3 linked regions of the Arabidopsis thaliana genome follow. The protein of the gene in region 2 interacts with the protein of the main gene of each other region in a pairwise test. Each region holds a gene or a part of one and is shown on either strand. Other genes may lie near its edges.

Region 1 (4,641 bases), on a different chromosome or scaffold from region 2:
CTCGGAGCAATCGCTCGGTATGTTGTTCATTGAGTGAAGAACCAAAAGACCAATGGTAAAATTTGCAATCTTGAGAGATAATTTTTTTTCCTTTTTTTGGTTTGATTCTGGAGATAAAGCTTGGTCTTTTAATTGCAGCTTGAGTCGGAGAAGTCTTGTTTATGTTTTAGTTGCTTCGCCGTGTTTGTTGTTACCAGCGTTGTCTTCATCTGCGAAGACTAAATCAAAGAGTCCTTATGATGAGAGACGGTTACTAGAACAGAACAAGAGGATACAGAGAGAGAACAATGCTCCTGACGAGTTTCCTAACTTTGTTAGAGAAGGTTTAAGCTTTTATTCACTGTTTCTTTGAGTATTATTCATTCTTGAGTGGAAGAAGAATATGAGAACTTATTGTCCTTTTGTTTGTGTTTATGTTTTTGCTGATATAGTGCAGGTTTTGAGGTTAAGGTATTAGCTTCTGATAATTACATCAAGGCTGATTCTGGCCTCATATATCGGGATTTCAATGTTGGTCAAGGTGATTTCCCAAAAGATGGTCAGCAGGTACTACTTCCTCTATGTTAGATTAGTTAAACTTAGGATCTGAAGTTAGATCATTTATGGAATTGGTATGCTCTTTACTTGGATATATAGAATTGAAGATATCATTGAGTTTTATGGTTATTTTGACAGGTGACTTTTCACTACATTGGCTACAATGAGTCTGGAAGGCGAATAGATAGTACTTACATACAAGGTTCTCCTGCTAGAATCCGCATGGGAACCAATGCACTTGTTCCAGGCAAGTAGAAGACATTAACTTGGCTCTTTAGTAGTAGGATGTTAATGAAGAATCTTCTTTGACAGGAAACACATATTGAAGATTTTTAATACTATATGGATAATGATGATGCAGGATTTGAAATGGGAATTCGTGACATGAAGCCCGGTGGGCGAAGAAGGATTATAATCCCTCCAGAATTGGGACCTCCGGTTAGTGTTCTTACTTGTTCCTTACAAGTATACACTTGTCTGAACTGTAAACCTGACTAGTGGTAAACTTTTGCTGAGCCATTCCGTTGAATATACCATCCCTCTATCAACAATGTTTCAAATGGAATTACTAGCTTGAGCATGCTCGTTTAGGGACATATCTAAACCAATGTAGATTAGACTTGTACTGTGTAAAAACTGTCTTCACTTTGGTTCGATCATATTTTTGACAAAACAAAGTTCATTGGGCTCTAACCAGGTGGGACCTTCGACCTTCTTCAGCTCGAAGCAATTTGAAGTTTTCGACGTGGAGTTGCTCAGTATCCAGAATTGTGAGAGGAGGACTATAATAGGTTTCTACTCAGATGTCACATGCAGTTAACTTCCAAATGATGGTCATCACTAAGCTTCAATGAACCTGCATTCTTCAATCTTCAATACTCTAAATCTGCACGGCAGATGAGAACTACAAAGAAACAAAAAGAACAATTATTCTTTGCTTAGGCATTTATCTTGTGGGTTTCATGTAGAGATGCACAATTACATAGAGAGACAGATAAAGATCATGTAAAGTCTCGACCTTTTTCATAATCGTAGTTTACTTTTGTTGCTTTGTTGATCACGTTTTAAGCGTTTGGAGCTTTTTGATATCTTCTGTCTCTCTGTATCTGTGCGTTTGTCAAGTTAAAGCAATGCATTGTTTCGTTAGTTTTATAATTTCTACCCCAAATTTTGGCACTCTTTATGAAACACCCCAAACAAATAATAAATTGTACAAAGATACATTGAAATTTGGAACGGTAGATGTGCAATGCTCATCACATTTGGAAAGTTAATTACGAAATTTTCATCTAAAGACGTTAAGACATTTTATGTGTGGAAACTATAATTTGCAAGTAAAGCAACTAAAACGATAAAAAGGGTAAATGAGTAATTGCGACGTATCCACTAAACCCTTAGTCTCAGCTAGAAGGTTCGGTTTGAGTTTTCTTTATCCCCAAAAAACCCTAAACTCTTCTTCTCGCCGACTTCTCTACTCCTTTCCAGAAACCAAGTTTCAGGTCATCGGTGAAATTTGTTGTGTTCCCGGCGACTTCTACTTTTCACCTTTCTTCTCGGCGTCGTCTAATTTCTAGGGTTCCCCTGTATTTCACGTGAGAATCTTTGGCTTCTTTTTTTCTTTCGTTTCGTCTGTTCGAATGCATAGTTAGGTTTAGACTTGAGAATGTTGCATTGTTGGATTAGATTCATACTTCAGATTAGGGTTTCAGTTTCAATTCGTTAAGTTGATGAGCTCGAGTAGCTTAAGATCATCTTTAAGCTCTCTTAATTCTAAACAGTTTTGTGACTGAAATTGCAGCGTCAAGAGCAAATCCAACATGTCGTCGCTGCGTAATGCTATTCCACGGCCTGCTCATAAGGAGCGATCTCAACCGTAAGCTATTATTGCTCTCAGGTGTCCTTTTTGTTCTTTTCTTCGTTTCTCTTCTTAAAGTTTGGATTTTTAAACGTATCATCAGGGAAGCGAGGAAGAGGTTTGGCATCCTCGAGAAGCATAAGGATTATATTATCCGAGCTAATGCTTATCACAAAAAGCAGGAAACTTTAAAGGTAACTATTACACTCTCTGTTTTCAATTCCATCTCTCCTATGATTATACTGTCGAGATTATGTTAATAAAGTCTTTCAAGTAGACATTTGTTAGTTTACGGGATTGATTGATGATATCTGTGAGATAGCTAAGAAACTAAATCGTTGGGAGTTCAGTTTCTCTTACACCGTTTTACTTTACTGCAGATACTTAGGCAGAAGGCTGCATTCAAGAATCCAGATGAATTCAACTTTAAGATGATTAATAGTAAAACAGTTGATGGACGTCATAGACCAAAGTAAGCATATCGAAACTCTTCGTTTTCTTCTTTTTGCTTTTCACTATTATCTCTTTTGCTATTCTCATGGTTTCTCGTTTTCTTCTTGGTTTGTAAATTTTGACAAAGTTATTGTTTTCAGAGATGAGGTAAATAAATACTCTGCGGAAGAGCTTATGATTATGAAGACTCAAGATATTGGATATGTGTTCCAAAAATGGCAGAGTGAGAAAAACGTAAGTTATCTTTCCTCATACACACCCCAAGAGCTTTCTGCTTACGATCATATTTATCCAGTTTTTCTCTTTGTTCCTTCTTATCTTTTGTAGAAAATTGACAAGCTGACTGCATCGCTGCAATGTACTGGGGATCAGTCAAGCCGTAGACATGTTTACTATGCAGAAGACAGGTTAATCCCAACTTTTAGTCCTTTCTTTACTTGGTGTAGCTTTCGTGATTTTCTCATTCATTTTGAATGTGTCATATGGACACTGCAAAATTTGATCCTCCTTACCTTAACATTTAAAAGACATTACCGGTACCACATTGTTTGTGTTTTCTTATAATCTTCTTTTTTAACTCTGTTGTTCCTTTATCAGAGAGGAGGCTAGAGAACTGGAGGTACAAGGTAGAAGCAAAAGTGATATCTCTACAGTAGAGATTCCGAAAGATATTAAAAAGTATGTATCTGAAATGAATTAGATGTTTTCAAAGGTATCAAACGGACAATCAATAGTCATTGTATTCTATTTTCTTAAAACAGGAAAATGGATAGGTCCTATAGAGACCTCGAGGGGCGGAAGAGCAGGGCTAAAGATTTGGAGAAGTTATACACGGATATGTCAATGCAGAAGGAGTTACAGGTTATCATCAGTCCCCCGAACACATTACTGTTTCTTGGTATGCAACTAGACCATCTCTGATTAAACTCTTTTAATGGACAGAAAAAGGGTCGCAAACGGAAGCTGCGTGATGACGAGCTGCTCAATCCAAATGGTAAAGCGGTATACAAATGGCGCGCCGATAGAAAACGCTGAAGAGAAAAGCTTTCATGGTTGTGTAGCTTGACATCATTTTTCTGATCTCTATTAAAGTTTATATAGCAGGCAGTTTTATTATAGTTTTTTTGATCTCCAGAACCTGCAGAACTTTACATACAATTTTGGATGGGACAATATCTGTTTACTTTAAGCTCTTTGTTGCGTATCTGGAAAAGTTTTACTAATGTGATTGACGAAATATAAACACATGAATCCAAAATAGAAGATTGAAGACTTCAAAATTTTACCACTAAGATAAAGTTCGGTATACACAAAAAGACTGTTTGTAAATAGCAAATAATGGGCCCTTTTCTTTCTGATTGGCTTTTACCAAAAATACGCAAATCTTACTCAGCTTTTAAATTTTGGTTTTTGTTTAAGTTTTAGATTTTGTTACTTAAAAGACTCAAAAAATATTGGTTCAGCCTTTTTAATTTATTATTTATTTACTCTTATGTAAAGAGAGAAAGAAAACAAAAAGCAATGGGACTTTAAATGATTTGGTACAATTGCTGTTTTAGTACAAGTTTAAATTTGGAATCAAATCCTAACTTATAAAGAAAAACAGCCATCTTTGGCATATAACACAAATGCACTGGCTTATGATATTTGCTATTTCTACTAAAAAACAATTAGTCTTAAATAATTTCAGAAAACATTATAAAGTCATTTTAATTAAAGGCATAAGACACAAATGTTACCCCTATGTTTATGATATGCGTTATTAGTTCCAATTTTTCAGAAACCTATTAATTGTC
Region 2 (4,760 bases):
GTACATTGTTTCTAGAAGTCGTCTTGTTGTAATCTGTCAACCAACAAACATATGCTGACAAGTTAAATTTTTGATGCATTGGCCAAACTTCCATCACAATACTTTATGTAAGCCCACACAAAGGAAGAACAATTCAATAGATCATAAATTTTACCACAATGAAAATGCATTCACTCAAGTTTAAGTATTGAAACAATGGAGACCCAACAGCGCCAATGTTGGACACAAAGCCAAGGGAAAACATAGATCAGACCTCTACATGAGTCGTCATAGGTTACATAAACGGATATATTGGGATTTTGGAGCTCGGGTCAAATTACTAATATGTTTATGCTAAAGTGCATTTGGATGGAATAAGTCCTTGCTGCAGTCAATGCATATTTATGTACACTATCAACATGAAATAGAAAATGGTAGATATTTTATTTGGTAGCAAAGATTGGCCAACCGTTTCAAAGTGAACTAAATATGCAACAAATTACTAGAAGAAAACTGAATGAAAATGATGAGAATAAGAAAATCCTGCTTACCGCGGTGATGGGAACCTGTTCGAATCTTCAACTCCTCAAATGGAGGAGGGCCATCACCAGCTTTGCTTTCCTGAGATCGAGCCAAACTAGCGTATTTTTTCTTCATCTGCCATTCTTCAGTGAGTGATTGCACATAACCGCCCAAGACAGTCACCTCTTTTGGAGTCAAACATACTAGACCATCACGTATCACAGCCTTATTTTCTAGACGTACCTGCCAACGAGACAGTACAAAATATCAACAATACAAAATGATTTATGATTTGCATATGACACCCTCTGATGCATGACAAACACATATGTGCACTAGCTTTCTATTGATTTAGATCTTAATCCAAACTATTATATTTGCATGAGACTTTCAGAAACATAGTAAAGGAGAATTTGAATTAGATTGATATGGAAATGGAACTACCTTAGTACCAGGAGTGACATCATTGTTAATCGTTGGTATATGAGAGTACTCAAGCGCGGATATTTCGGTCTTCCCGTCAGTCAGAGCGAATTTTAGCACTCGTTTACCAGTGGAACTTCCCACAAATTCCTCTGCGCTACTTCTTGTAACATCCCTAACATAACTTATCTATGCTCACAAAAGAAAACAAATTAACACTCAACAGCTTGAATCAACTGCAACAATTGAGCATTCTGAAACTAGTTTAAATCTAAGTATATCAGTGAGAGTGACTCATTGAATTAGCGAAGACCTAATGCCAATTGTTACTGACTTTAGCTGATTGAAGCAATGTACCTGGAGAACTTTGGGGCCTTGAAGATGAGAACACCTGCGTAACTCGGTCGGGTCCGGGAGGGATTTACCTCCGATTAACTTAATATCCATGTTAAGCAGCTCCGCCTCCACTGACTCCACGATGGCGCCTGTTTTATTGCCGCCGCCGATCAAGGAAGAGATTTCAGTGACCAGGGATTTCAAGTATTCGACGTCTCTGAAGCACCAGCCCCGACTAGTTAGGGCATTTATCACGACGGTGTGGGTGTGGTCGCCGGCGGAGGAGCTTGATGTTCCCACCATTGCGTTGATGCTCTTGTCGCGCTAAACCAATTGGGGAAGACGAGATTTTAATTTGGAGAATTGATTTTGTTATGGTCAATATCGAGTTAAACTAATTACTATTCACTAATGATACTTTTTGCATAAAATCGTTTTGATCAATAAAGAAGAACATTTTTAACAGAAAAACTAGAAAAGTAATTCGAAAAAGTCCTATAAAAAAGGTATTTTCCGGTTTCGTTTTAGTGGGCCTAATGGCCCATATGTAACACGAAGATTTCTGACAGTACGACTTCTAAAGTACTTTGCTTTCCTTGTTGAATTCCGACCAAAGTCGATAAAGAGTTATGACGATGGACGATGGTAACTCCGTCTACGTCGGCGGCCTCCCTTACGACATCACCGAGGAGGCTGTCCGTCGCGTCTTCTCCATTTACGGCTCCGTCCTCACCGTTAAGGTTAATTTTCTCTTTTCAATATCCTGATTTAAGTTTCTTAATTAGGATGATTCAAATTCGTTTCGTGATTTTGAAGTTCCAATCTTATTGTATGATCTTATAGATGATAAGCTTTAGTAGATATCTATGTAGAAAGACTGACCAAGTGATTTAGATAACATCCAATTGCTAGTTGATATATCTTACATGTGAGCTGGTCAGAGTGTATATTGACATATATGTGTACTATTTGAGAATTCAGATTGTCAATGACCGGAGTGTAAGAGGGAAATGCTATGGCTTTGTTACATTTTCGAACCGTCGATCGGCTGATGATGCTATCGAAGATATGGATGGAAAAGTATGGTTCTACTGCTAAAGTTTTGTTCTTTTGTTTATATTATCATGTACGTGGTGTGTTTATATTGTTGACGGTATTGAGCTCGTAATCAGAGTATTGGTGGGCGTGCAGTGCGTGTGAATGATGTGACAACAAGAGGTGGAAGAATGAATCCAGGTCCGGGGCGGTTACAACCACACGGTGGTTGGGATAGAAGTCCTGATAGGAGAAGTGATGGTAATTATGAGAGGGATCGGTATAGTGATAGGTCTCGAGAACGGGATAGGTCTCAGGATAGGAGAAAAGATCATCGCTACATAGAGAAGGAAAGAGCTTATGAGCATTCACATGATTTTGAGAGGAGGAATGATCATGATATGGTAGATAGAAATGGTTATAAGGAAAGAGTTTTCGATGGTGATGAAGGAGATTGGCGTGGGGATAGGTCTTATGTGGATAATGGTAGGGGAATAAATGGGACCAGTGCTCACGAAGGAAGGAGCCAAGAAACAAAGAGAGAAGATAGGTAAACTTTTGTTGAAAACAATGCAGTTGTAGACTTCACATTGGATTTCAAACTTTTAGTGTTCCTCCTGTTTCTTTGAATTGTGACATTCGTTGTTCTTGTAAAATTGGTCTGCTAGTTTGAATGAGTCAAAGACTGGGATGCTAGTCTTAGTCACGCCGCTAAACCAAATCATCCACACCTGTTGTGGTTAAGTTTGATAAATTATCATCGATTTTAGTGTAATGGATTTGAGGAAGTTTCTTGCTCTTGTTGGCTTTGTGCATGTTACCGTTTGAGGAATGTTTTGGCTTGCTTTGGTTTTGTTAACATGTCTAAATCTTTGTGTGTTCTTGTTGGATTGACAGTACCATTCTTGATGGTGGACGTGGCAGAGATCACTTCTCTAATTCAAGTGGAGATCATCAGGTAAAGATGATTTTCTTAGCCATGCAGTGTTTGCATAAATTCATTTTATAACTTGCAACTTCTATTACAGGTGAAAGAAGATCTGGAAGCGCTGATTAAGATGCGTGAGGCGCTTCGAGATGAGGTATGAGGTAGTTTATCTGTGCATATAGGCTGTTGGTAGATTTATTTTACATAATCACGAGTGATCCAATGAATTTATGGGCTACTTTCATTTTTAAGGTGATGGTGATGGAAGAGAGACTGGAAGTAAAAGAAGTAGTGTGCTCAGAGCTACAGAAGAAATCTAAGGTATGTGTCTTCTATATCTTACAACCCCAAAATGTTTGACTACAGATTTGTTCTCATTTGAAATGGTTAAGACAGAGATTAGAAGATTTGTTGATCAATGAAAAGAAACTGGTTTCACAACGCCGAAAAGAATTGGCAAAGGTAAGCATAGGTTCGATTCCTGTTCTAAAAGTCGGTTTTGTTAGGTAATGTTTGTTGACATTTGGTCTATGTTTGTGGTAGCTACATAAATCATATTCAAGGGTTAGAGAGTGCACGGACAACCTGAAAGACTGTGAACAAGAACTCCAGGTTAGTTTCTAAATTTTCTTATTCTAGTGATTGTCATTGCATAAAGATTAGGCCTAATCGAAACAAGTGTCTATTCTTTTCTCGCAGTTGCTTGTTAATTCAGCAGCTAGAGAAGGCGTGGCAGGTGCTGATGAAGGATTGGGACACGGGTATCCGTAACACGGTCACCCGCATGTATGATCTGTTTTGTCTAAAGTGTAGCTTTGATATGTCTTCTCTTTGTGACTTTCCGAGTTTTTTTCTAGTCGAGCTACACTAATTTGGTACATATTTACTTGTTTTGGCAAGTATGTATTCATTTCATTCGGGATGTATTATTATCATACGAACATGAACTAAATAATTATGTTTTCAACTTGCAACTGAAACCAAACAATCACCATACAAAGTGTGGAAGTAAAGTCTCAAAGCTTTGTTAGAGAAGAAGTCCTAGATAGTACTTGGCTATAGTTAAAATATTTTAGTAGATGAAGTTGACAAATTAACTATTTCTTTTTGTAATGTTTGCTTTGTTCTTTACTAATATAAAGATACTTGGCTACAGTGAAAATGTTATAAAAAGAGAGAAAAGAATAGACAGTTAAATTATTAAGGTTGACACAACCATCATCTCCACCGTCCATTACTCGTCAGCCGAATGTTTTTTATTTGATTAAGATGTGAACATCATCCATTGACCTATCGTTGCTTGTAAAGCCAAGTTAGCCAACCAACACTCAAATCATCATTATACGTGACGATCTTAAGAACAACCCCATTTAGGATACTCTATATGTTTGTCTTCTCATATAAATTTCATTATAGTAATATTAAGGCATTATCCATTATTCATATATATTCTTCAAGGCATGTTTCGTACATCTTATAGCAAACCAGTAGCAGTAAATAGCATAAGCAAATGTGTTCTTCTTGTCGCATGGCTCTA
Region 3 (6,205 bases), on a different chromosome or scaffold from region 2:
GGCACTAACTATGGTAAAAGTTGGAAATATAAAGTTTTAAAAGTAGTTTCGTGCTAACAGAAAAAATAAAGGTTTGATTGCAATATAAGTGTGGTTTGTTTCGTGTCTCTCCTCACCAGTGTTTACATGATCAACTTCATTTTCTTATGGTGTATCTTCATCTACTTCTTCAAAGACCCTCTTGTCTTGGTGTGTGACCTCGATTCCACAATCAAACTCTTTTGTTACATCTTCATCTTGTTTTGTGCCATGTTTTTGTTCACACATGATCTTTACTTCCTGATTCTCCACAACTTTCTCGATGCCACTGATCTTGTTTTGCTAGATTGTTAAGAACACACAAGTTTAAAGAATAACTCTCTTTATTAGCTTTAGAAAATCAACTTAAAACTAAAACAACTGACCTCTTCATCGACATCTTGCTTGATACTATCTTCTTGGTCATTGATCTTTTCTTCTTGATCCCTTGCATCTTGCTTGATGTCACCGTCTTGTCCAATGTTCTTTCCTTTTACATTCTTTGCCTTTTGTTGATCAACATCACTATCTGATTTTGTAACCGCCTCTTCATTGTCGTGATGTGCAACATCCGCGATGAGTTCTTGATCAGTTTCGCTAATGCTTTCAGTTTGAACCGATGATCTTGGAGGCGTAGAAATAATGACAGGTCGTCTGTTTGTCTGATGCCAAGCAAGGTGGGTCATAAAATCACTGCGGTTATGGATCTGCACAAATACCATATCCAATTAAATTTAAAAGAGTTAACTACAACATATTAGGAAAATCACAAAAGAATATGGACCATAATTACCAACCATTTGTGTGGGGTAATAATAACATGGGTTGTTGTTATACATGTAAATATATTGTCCCCAAACGTGATTCCTATATATTATGAAAATAAATATATAAGCAAAGAAATTAGATGAAAACAATATTCAAACTTTAGTTTAAAAACAAAATTGAATAAATATTACCAGGTGTGCGGAGGACAATATGGAATTACGTGTTGAGGAGCTTGCTGATATTGATGCGGCGGTATAACATAATTGAATGATCCTACAAATTTAAAGTTATGAAGAAGAAAAAGTTGTTTGAGAAAGTTTTGTTACACAAAATAAAATCATAAAACCAAGATTTAGAAAGAGAAATAAGGATATATAAACCGTTTAGGTTAGGGTGATTCATGTTTTGTTTTGCACCAGCACTAGCCAAATTGCAATTGGTTGTTCTTCCATCAATGATGGGTTTAGAATTTTGAAGAGCTCTAACTGTAGAGACATAGTCTCTAAAAGTAATCTGAAAATTCAATACAAATCAATCGTCTTCATTAAACCGGTATTAAATATGGAATCAAACCATACAGAGTACAAACAAAACGTGTTTCTAGGTCAGAGGAAATCTTCATATTTTTAAATATACACAAAGGTTTACTAATGAAGTTGAATTAAGGAAAAGAAAGGATACTTACAAAACCATAGCCTTTTGATCTGCCAGGATAAGTTTCAGAAACAACATTAGCATCAACCACTTGTCCGAATTGTTCAAAGTATCTTCTCAAATCATCTGCAGTTGTTCTCCATGTTAAATTCCCCACAAAAATCTTCGTAACCCTAGTATCATGATTATTAGTTTGAGACATCATAACCAATAAATAATCTCTTAAAAACCAATTTAGAGAAGAAACAGAAAGTTGCAGGGTTTAAGGGTTTGGAACTAATATATATATATATATATATATAATGAGATAAGAGTTGTTAAAAAATATATATCTATATATATCTATATATAAGGAGATAAGGAAATTAGTTTCCCAATAGAAAAAGAAATTAGGATATTATTAGATGGAATGCAATTTTATTTATTTATTATTTGTTTGTTTTTTAATCTTTTAAATTTTATTTATTTTTTTTTTTTGGGTCATCTCCTCTCTTATCTCTATGATGACTATACCGTTTATTTTCTTTTCCCACTCTGCTTAGGAAGAGAAGAGAGAAGAGAGAAGAGAAGATACTTGAGGAGATGTTGGCGAGAGCTCCACCGCCTTATTTTAATTTCCCGGCGAGGAATAATACTATCTGTAATCGGAATGAGATTGTGCGGTTGTTTCGTAACGGCGGAGGAGTGGTAGCTAGAGGAGCTGGTTTCACTCGGCGACCACTGGAAACTTCGAGCTCTTACGACGATTCCACCGATGACGGATTCGTTATCATCAGTGCGGCAGATAAGGAGAATGAGTTCGCTCCTCCGCCTTCTTCCGATTTACTCTCTTCGATTCCGTCAGGTAATTTTGGTTAGTTGCTAGCTTTTGTCTCCCTCCTCGAATTGTAGTACCTGTAGTGGATTTTGTAAAATTAGGTATTAGGAACTGTGTTCGTTATTATTATTGGTTTTAATGATTTATTTGGTGTTGTAGAATCTGCGAGAAGAAATGGTTCGCGTTCGAGAGGTCTGACTGCGAGTTTTGGAAGGTTAAAGGCCCAGAAAGTGAAAGCTCTTGTTGGGAAGGTAACGCAGAAGAAGCAGCATATGAGTCACAATGAGGAAGAAGACGAGGATGACGCCTCTGATGAGAATTATTCTGCGGATGAAGGGTTTGGTTCATCATCAATTCTGGATTTGATGAGGAAGAAGCTGGCTATGAAGGCTATTCCTAGATCAGGAAAATCTGCAGAGAGGAACGAGGTAAAAAGAGCTAGCAAAGTGCGGGAATCTAGAGAGTCAAGAAGAGATTTAGATAGATTGGAAGGAGATGATGAAGATGTTGATGAGGTTTCAAATCCTGACAGGTTTACTGATAATCAGAGAGCAGGGTCGCGGAGTTCATATTCAAAAGGTGGTTATGCTGCTAACTCCAGGGGTAAGGGTGATAGGCTTTCGGTTGCAAGAGATTTAGATTCATTTGAGGGACATGGTAGAGCTATTGATGAGGTTTCAAACCCTCGAAAGTTTAATGATAACGAGAGAGCAGAATCAAGGAGTTCATATTCAAGAGACTCTTCTGCTAACTCCAGGGGTAGAGAAGATAGGCGTTTTGTTGCCAAAGAGTTAGATACATTTCAGGGACGTGATAAAGCTTATGATGAGGTTTATAATCCTCGAAGGTTCACTGATAATGAGAGAGGACTCAGAGGAGGATCACATTCAAAAGGCTCTGATACTAACTCTCGGGGTTGGGGTGATAGGCGTTCTGTTGTATATACAAGAGATATGGATGATTGGAGAGAGAGGAATAAAACCAAGGATACTAGGGAGACTGGCTTTTTTAGCCGGAAAACTTTTGCAGAAATTGGATGTAGTGAAGATATGATGAAGGCCTTAAAGGAACAGAATTTTGATCGCCCGGCACATATTCAGGTTCAGACTTTATTTTCACACTTGATAAATCATCTAGGTGCATGTGTATGTATACAAATCTTCTTACTGTTATCGTGCTACCATTCTTGTTTGTTTGACGCAGGCTATGGCTTTTTCACCAGTTATTGATGGAAAGAGTTGTATCATAGCTGACCAAAGTGGATCAGGCAAGACACTGGCATATCTTGTCCCTGTTATTCAGCGTCTCAGGGAAGAAGAGCTTCAAGGACACAGCAAATCGTCTCCTGGGTGTCCTCGTGTCATTGTTCTGGTACCAACTGCAGAGTTGGCTTCTCAGGTTCATTTCTTTTTATATGTGAATGATCTTCCTAGGTTGATTCATTGGTTATTGATGTGAATGTATTTAGCTGAAGACAATTGTTTGGTACATATGAAATACTTGGCAGGTTCTTGCTAACTGTAGATCAATATCAAAGTCTGGGGTCCCGTTCCGTTCGATGGTAGTGACGGGTGGCTTCAGACAACGAACCCAGCTAGAAAATTTAGAGCAAGGTGTTGACGTTTTGATTGCAACACCAGGGCGTTTCACGTACCTAATGAACGAAGGAATTTTGGGGTTGTCAAATTTAAGATGGTACTTTAAATCTTTCAACAAAGCAAACTTTCCCCATTGATTTGACGAGATGAAAGACTTTCACCAACTTTTGTGTGAAAATTGATTGGGTACAATCTTGGTTACGTGTTTTGCAGTGCCATCTTGGATGAGGTGGATATACTCTTTGGCGACGATGAGTTTGAGGCAGCCCTGCAAAATTTGATAAACTCTTCTCCTGTTACTGCACAGTATCTATTTGTTACAGCAACCTTGCCACTTGAAATATACAACAAACTTGTTGAAGTTTTCCCTGATTGTGAAGTTGTAATGGGACCTCGAGTGCACCGTGTTAGTAATGCTCTCGAAGAGGTTGGTATTAACATAAGTGATTGGAAATATGTAATGGGATCAACAACAGTAGCAGAATTTTTGTTTTGCTAACTTGGTTGCTGAATAATCTTCTTTGACTCGTCCCTGACCAATGTTGAGTTGCACTGTGCAGTTTCTTGTTGACTGTAGTGGAGATGATAATGCAGAGAAAACTCCTGAGACTGCATTTCAGAACAAGAAAACTGCTCTCCTTCAGATAATGGAGGAAAACCCTGTTTCCAAAACTATTATCTTCTGCAATAAGGTACCATGGTCGCCAACCTACTGCTTTTCGCTACTACTTGAAACCTTTTTGGACATCTCAGTCTCATATCCACCCTTTTATATGCAGATTGAGACATGTAGGAAAGTTGAGAACATATTTAAGCGGGTTGATAGAAAGGAAAGACAGTTGCACGTCCTACCTTTTCATGCTGCACTCTCACAAGAGTCAAGGCTTACAAACATGCAAGAATTCACATCATCTCAGCCCGAAGAAAATTCACTGTTTCTGGTTTGCACTGATAGGTACCTCAATTTGGTTACTGTTATCGTTTTTTATGATGCTATATTGCCTGAACATTGAAGATGTTAATTTTTTGTTTCTTCCTTTTTCGTTCCGAAACAATTGCAGAGCCTCCCGTGGGATAGATTTCTCTGGTGTTGATCATGTGGTGCTCTTTGACTTCCCACGTGACCCCAGTGAATACGTGAGACGTGTAGGAAGAACAGCAAGAGGGGCTAGGGGAAAAGGAAAGGCTTTCATCTTTGTGGTGGGGAAGCAAGTAGGGTTGGCACGGAGGATAATTGAGCGAAATGAGAAAGGTCACCCAGTTCATGATGTCCCAAACGCTTACGAGTTCACAACCTAAGTAACTCTTCATCTTGACCTTCTTTTTATTACTGCAATCTGTGTGTTGAAAGTTTCACTCTGTTGTTAGTTAAAAGAAATACGTAGAGAAGCCAAGTCCAAATTTTGACCATTAGTCTGTTGTAATGTTGTTAATGACACTTAACCTCCAAGCTCATGGAGTCTTGCACTGAATTGATGCCCCAAATCAAGATCATAACCAATTAGGATATAAAGTTATCTAAAGGATATGGAAGATTTGGACATAAGCTTATCTTCTTCCTATCATGCGTACTGTAGAGGAGAAGCAGCTGGTTGCAAGCAAACACAGTCTGGGAATTTATTACTTGTCTCATTTTGTTAAAAAGATTCACATGGCGCCAATTTGCCAGTAGGTTGTGTATACGTACTTGTCGCATTGAGAAATAGACAAATGATCAAAGATTGGGTGGGAACTGGTGATGTATGTGAAAGGGAAATAAATCGTCATGATTTTGATTTGCAATAAAGATTTTGAAATGGCAGTTTATCAATCAAAATTAATACAATTCAGATTTTGAAGTTGCACTATCTGTAATCTGTATATAAATAGAAAATATCTTTGGATTGGCAAAAATACTTAAATGTCCAAATCAATTAAATTAATTCACAACAGATTTTGTTTGTGTGACAGAAAAATGAAAAATCCCCTATAAAAAGAGCTCATAAGAACATAAATTAAAGCAAAACGAATAGATTAGCTACAACGAAAATGAATTGCAAGATTGAATTCATGAGCTTCCTCGTGATGACTTCAATAGTCATCCTATTTCTCTTTGTTTCAGGTTAGTCTCTTCGTGTCTTAATAGCAAACTATGGGAAAATATTAATAATGTGTTACTCTATCTCAAGTCTTTTTTTTTTTTTTTGTATTTGGTGAAAAGCAGGGAAAGTTGAAGCTGAACCCCAATGCATTGGATCATGTGAAATGCTTGCTGACTGTAACACGGCTTGTATCAGGATGGGATACTTATTTGGCCAATGCGTTGGCTGGAAAACTCCCGATATGTGTTGTTGCAACCATTGAATGTTTC

Evidence for each region. Proteins that work in one complex are often made in the same cells at the same time.
Region 1: the proteins of AT5G19960 (region 2) and EDA14 interact in a two-hybrid assay, tested with the Arabidopsis thaliana proteins (one large-scale study listed by BioGRID).
Region 3: the proteins of AT5G19960 (region 2) and AT3G06980 interact in a two-hybrid assay, tested with the Arabidopsis thaliana proteins (one large-scale study listed by BioGRID).

The regions. Positions count from the first base shown.
Region 1 is NC_003074.8:22,311,716-22,316,356, reverse strand, and holds EDA14 (embryo sac development arrest 14), read left to right. Parts: upstream 1-1,929; 5' UTR 1,930-2,129; intron 2,130-2,335; 5' UTR 2,336-2,354; coding exon 2,355-2,410; intron 2,411-2,495; coding exon 2,496-2,586; intron 2,587-2,772; coding exon 2,773-2,864; intron 2,865-2,985; coding exon 2,986-3,079; intron 3,080-3,172; coding exon 3,173-3,252; intron 3,253-3,442; coding exon 3,443-3,523; intron 3,524-3,606; coding exon 3,607-3,706; intron 3,707-3,787; coding exon 3,788-3,880; 3' UTR 3,881-4,099; downstream 4,100-4,641. Other genes in the region: AT3G60370 (FKBP-like peptidyl-prolyl cis-trans isomerase family protein), read left to right, coding at 1-55, 139-323, 437-546, 676-784, 899-975, 1,235-1,357.
Region 2 is NC_003076.8:6,742,140-6,746,899, forward strand, and holds AT5G19960 (RNA-binding (RRM/RBD/RNP motifs) family protein), read left to right. Parts: upstream 1-1,738; 5' UTR 1,739-1,889; coding exon 1,890-2,000; intron 2,001-2,241; coding exon 2,242-2,340; intron 2,341-2,377; exon of another isoform or gene 2,378-2,432; coding exon 2,433-2,845; intron 2,846-3,192; coding exon 3,193-3,253; intron 3,254-3,323; coding exon 3,324-3,377; intron 3,378-3,475; coding exon 3,476-3,544; intron 3,545-3,619; coding exon 3,620-3,685; intron 3,686-3,766; coding exon 3,767-3,835; intron 3,836-3,922; coding exon 3,923-3,994; 3' UTR 3,995-4,242; downstream 4,243-4,760. Other genes in the region: AT5G19950 (tudor domain protein (DUF1767)), read right to left, coding at 1-33, 531-744, 946-1,113, 1,282-1,563.
Region 3 is NC_003074.8:2,199,509-2,205,713, forward strand, and holds AT3G06980 (DEA(D/H)-box RNA helicase family protein), read left to right. Parts: upstream 1-1,923; 5' UTR 1,924-2,022; coding exon 2,023-2,284; intron 2,285-2,416; coding exon 2,417-3,357; intron 3,358-3,460; coding exon 3,461-3,655; intron 3,656-3,764; coding exon 3,765-3,952; intron 3,953-4,068; coding exon 4,069-4,282; intron 4,283-4,415; coding exon 4,416-4,547; intron 4,548-4,634; coding exon 4,635-4,810; intron 4,811-4,916; coding exon 4,917-5,154; 3' UTR 5,155-5,663; downstream 5,664-6,205. Other genes in the region: AT3G06970 (RNA-binding (RRM/RBD/RNP motifs) family protein), read right to left, coding at 145-321, 405-725, 816-885, 978-1,059, 1,167-1,299, 1,472-1,642; LCR44 (low-molecular-weight cysteine-rich 44), read left to right, coding at 5,884-5,956, 6,059-6,198. UniProt on the Arabidopsis thaliana protein: Probably involved in resistance to biotic and abiotic stresses.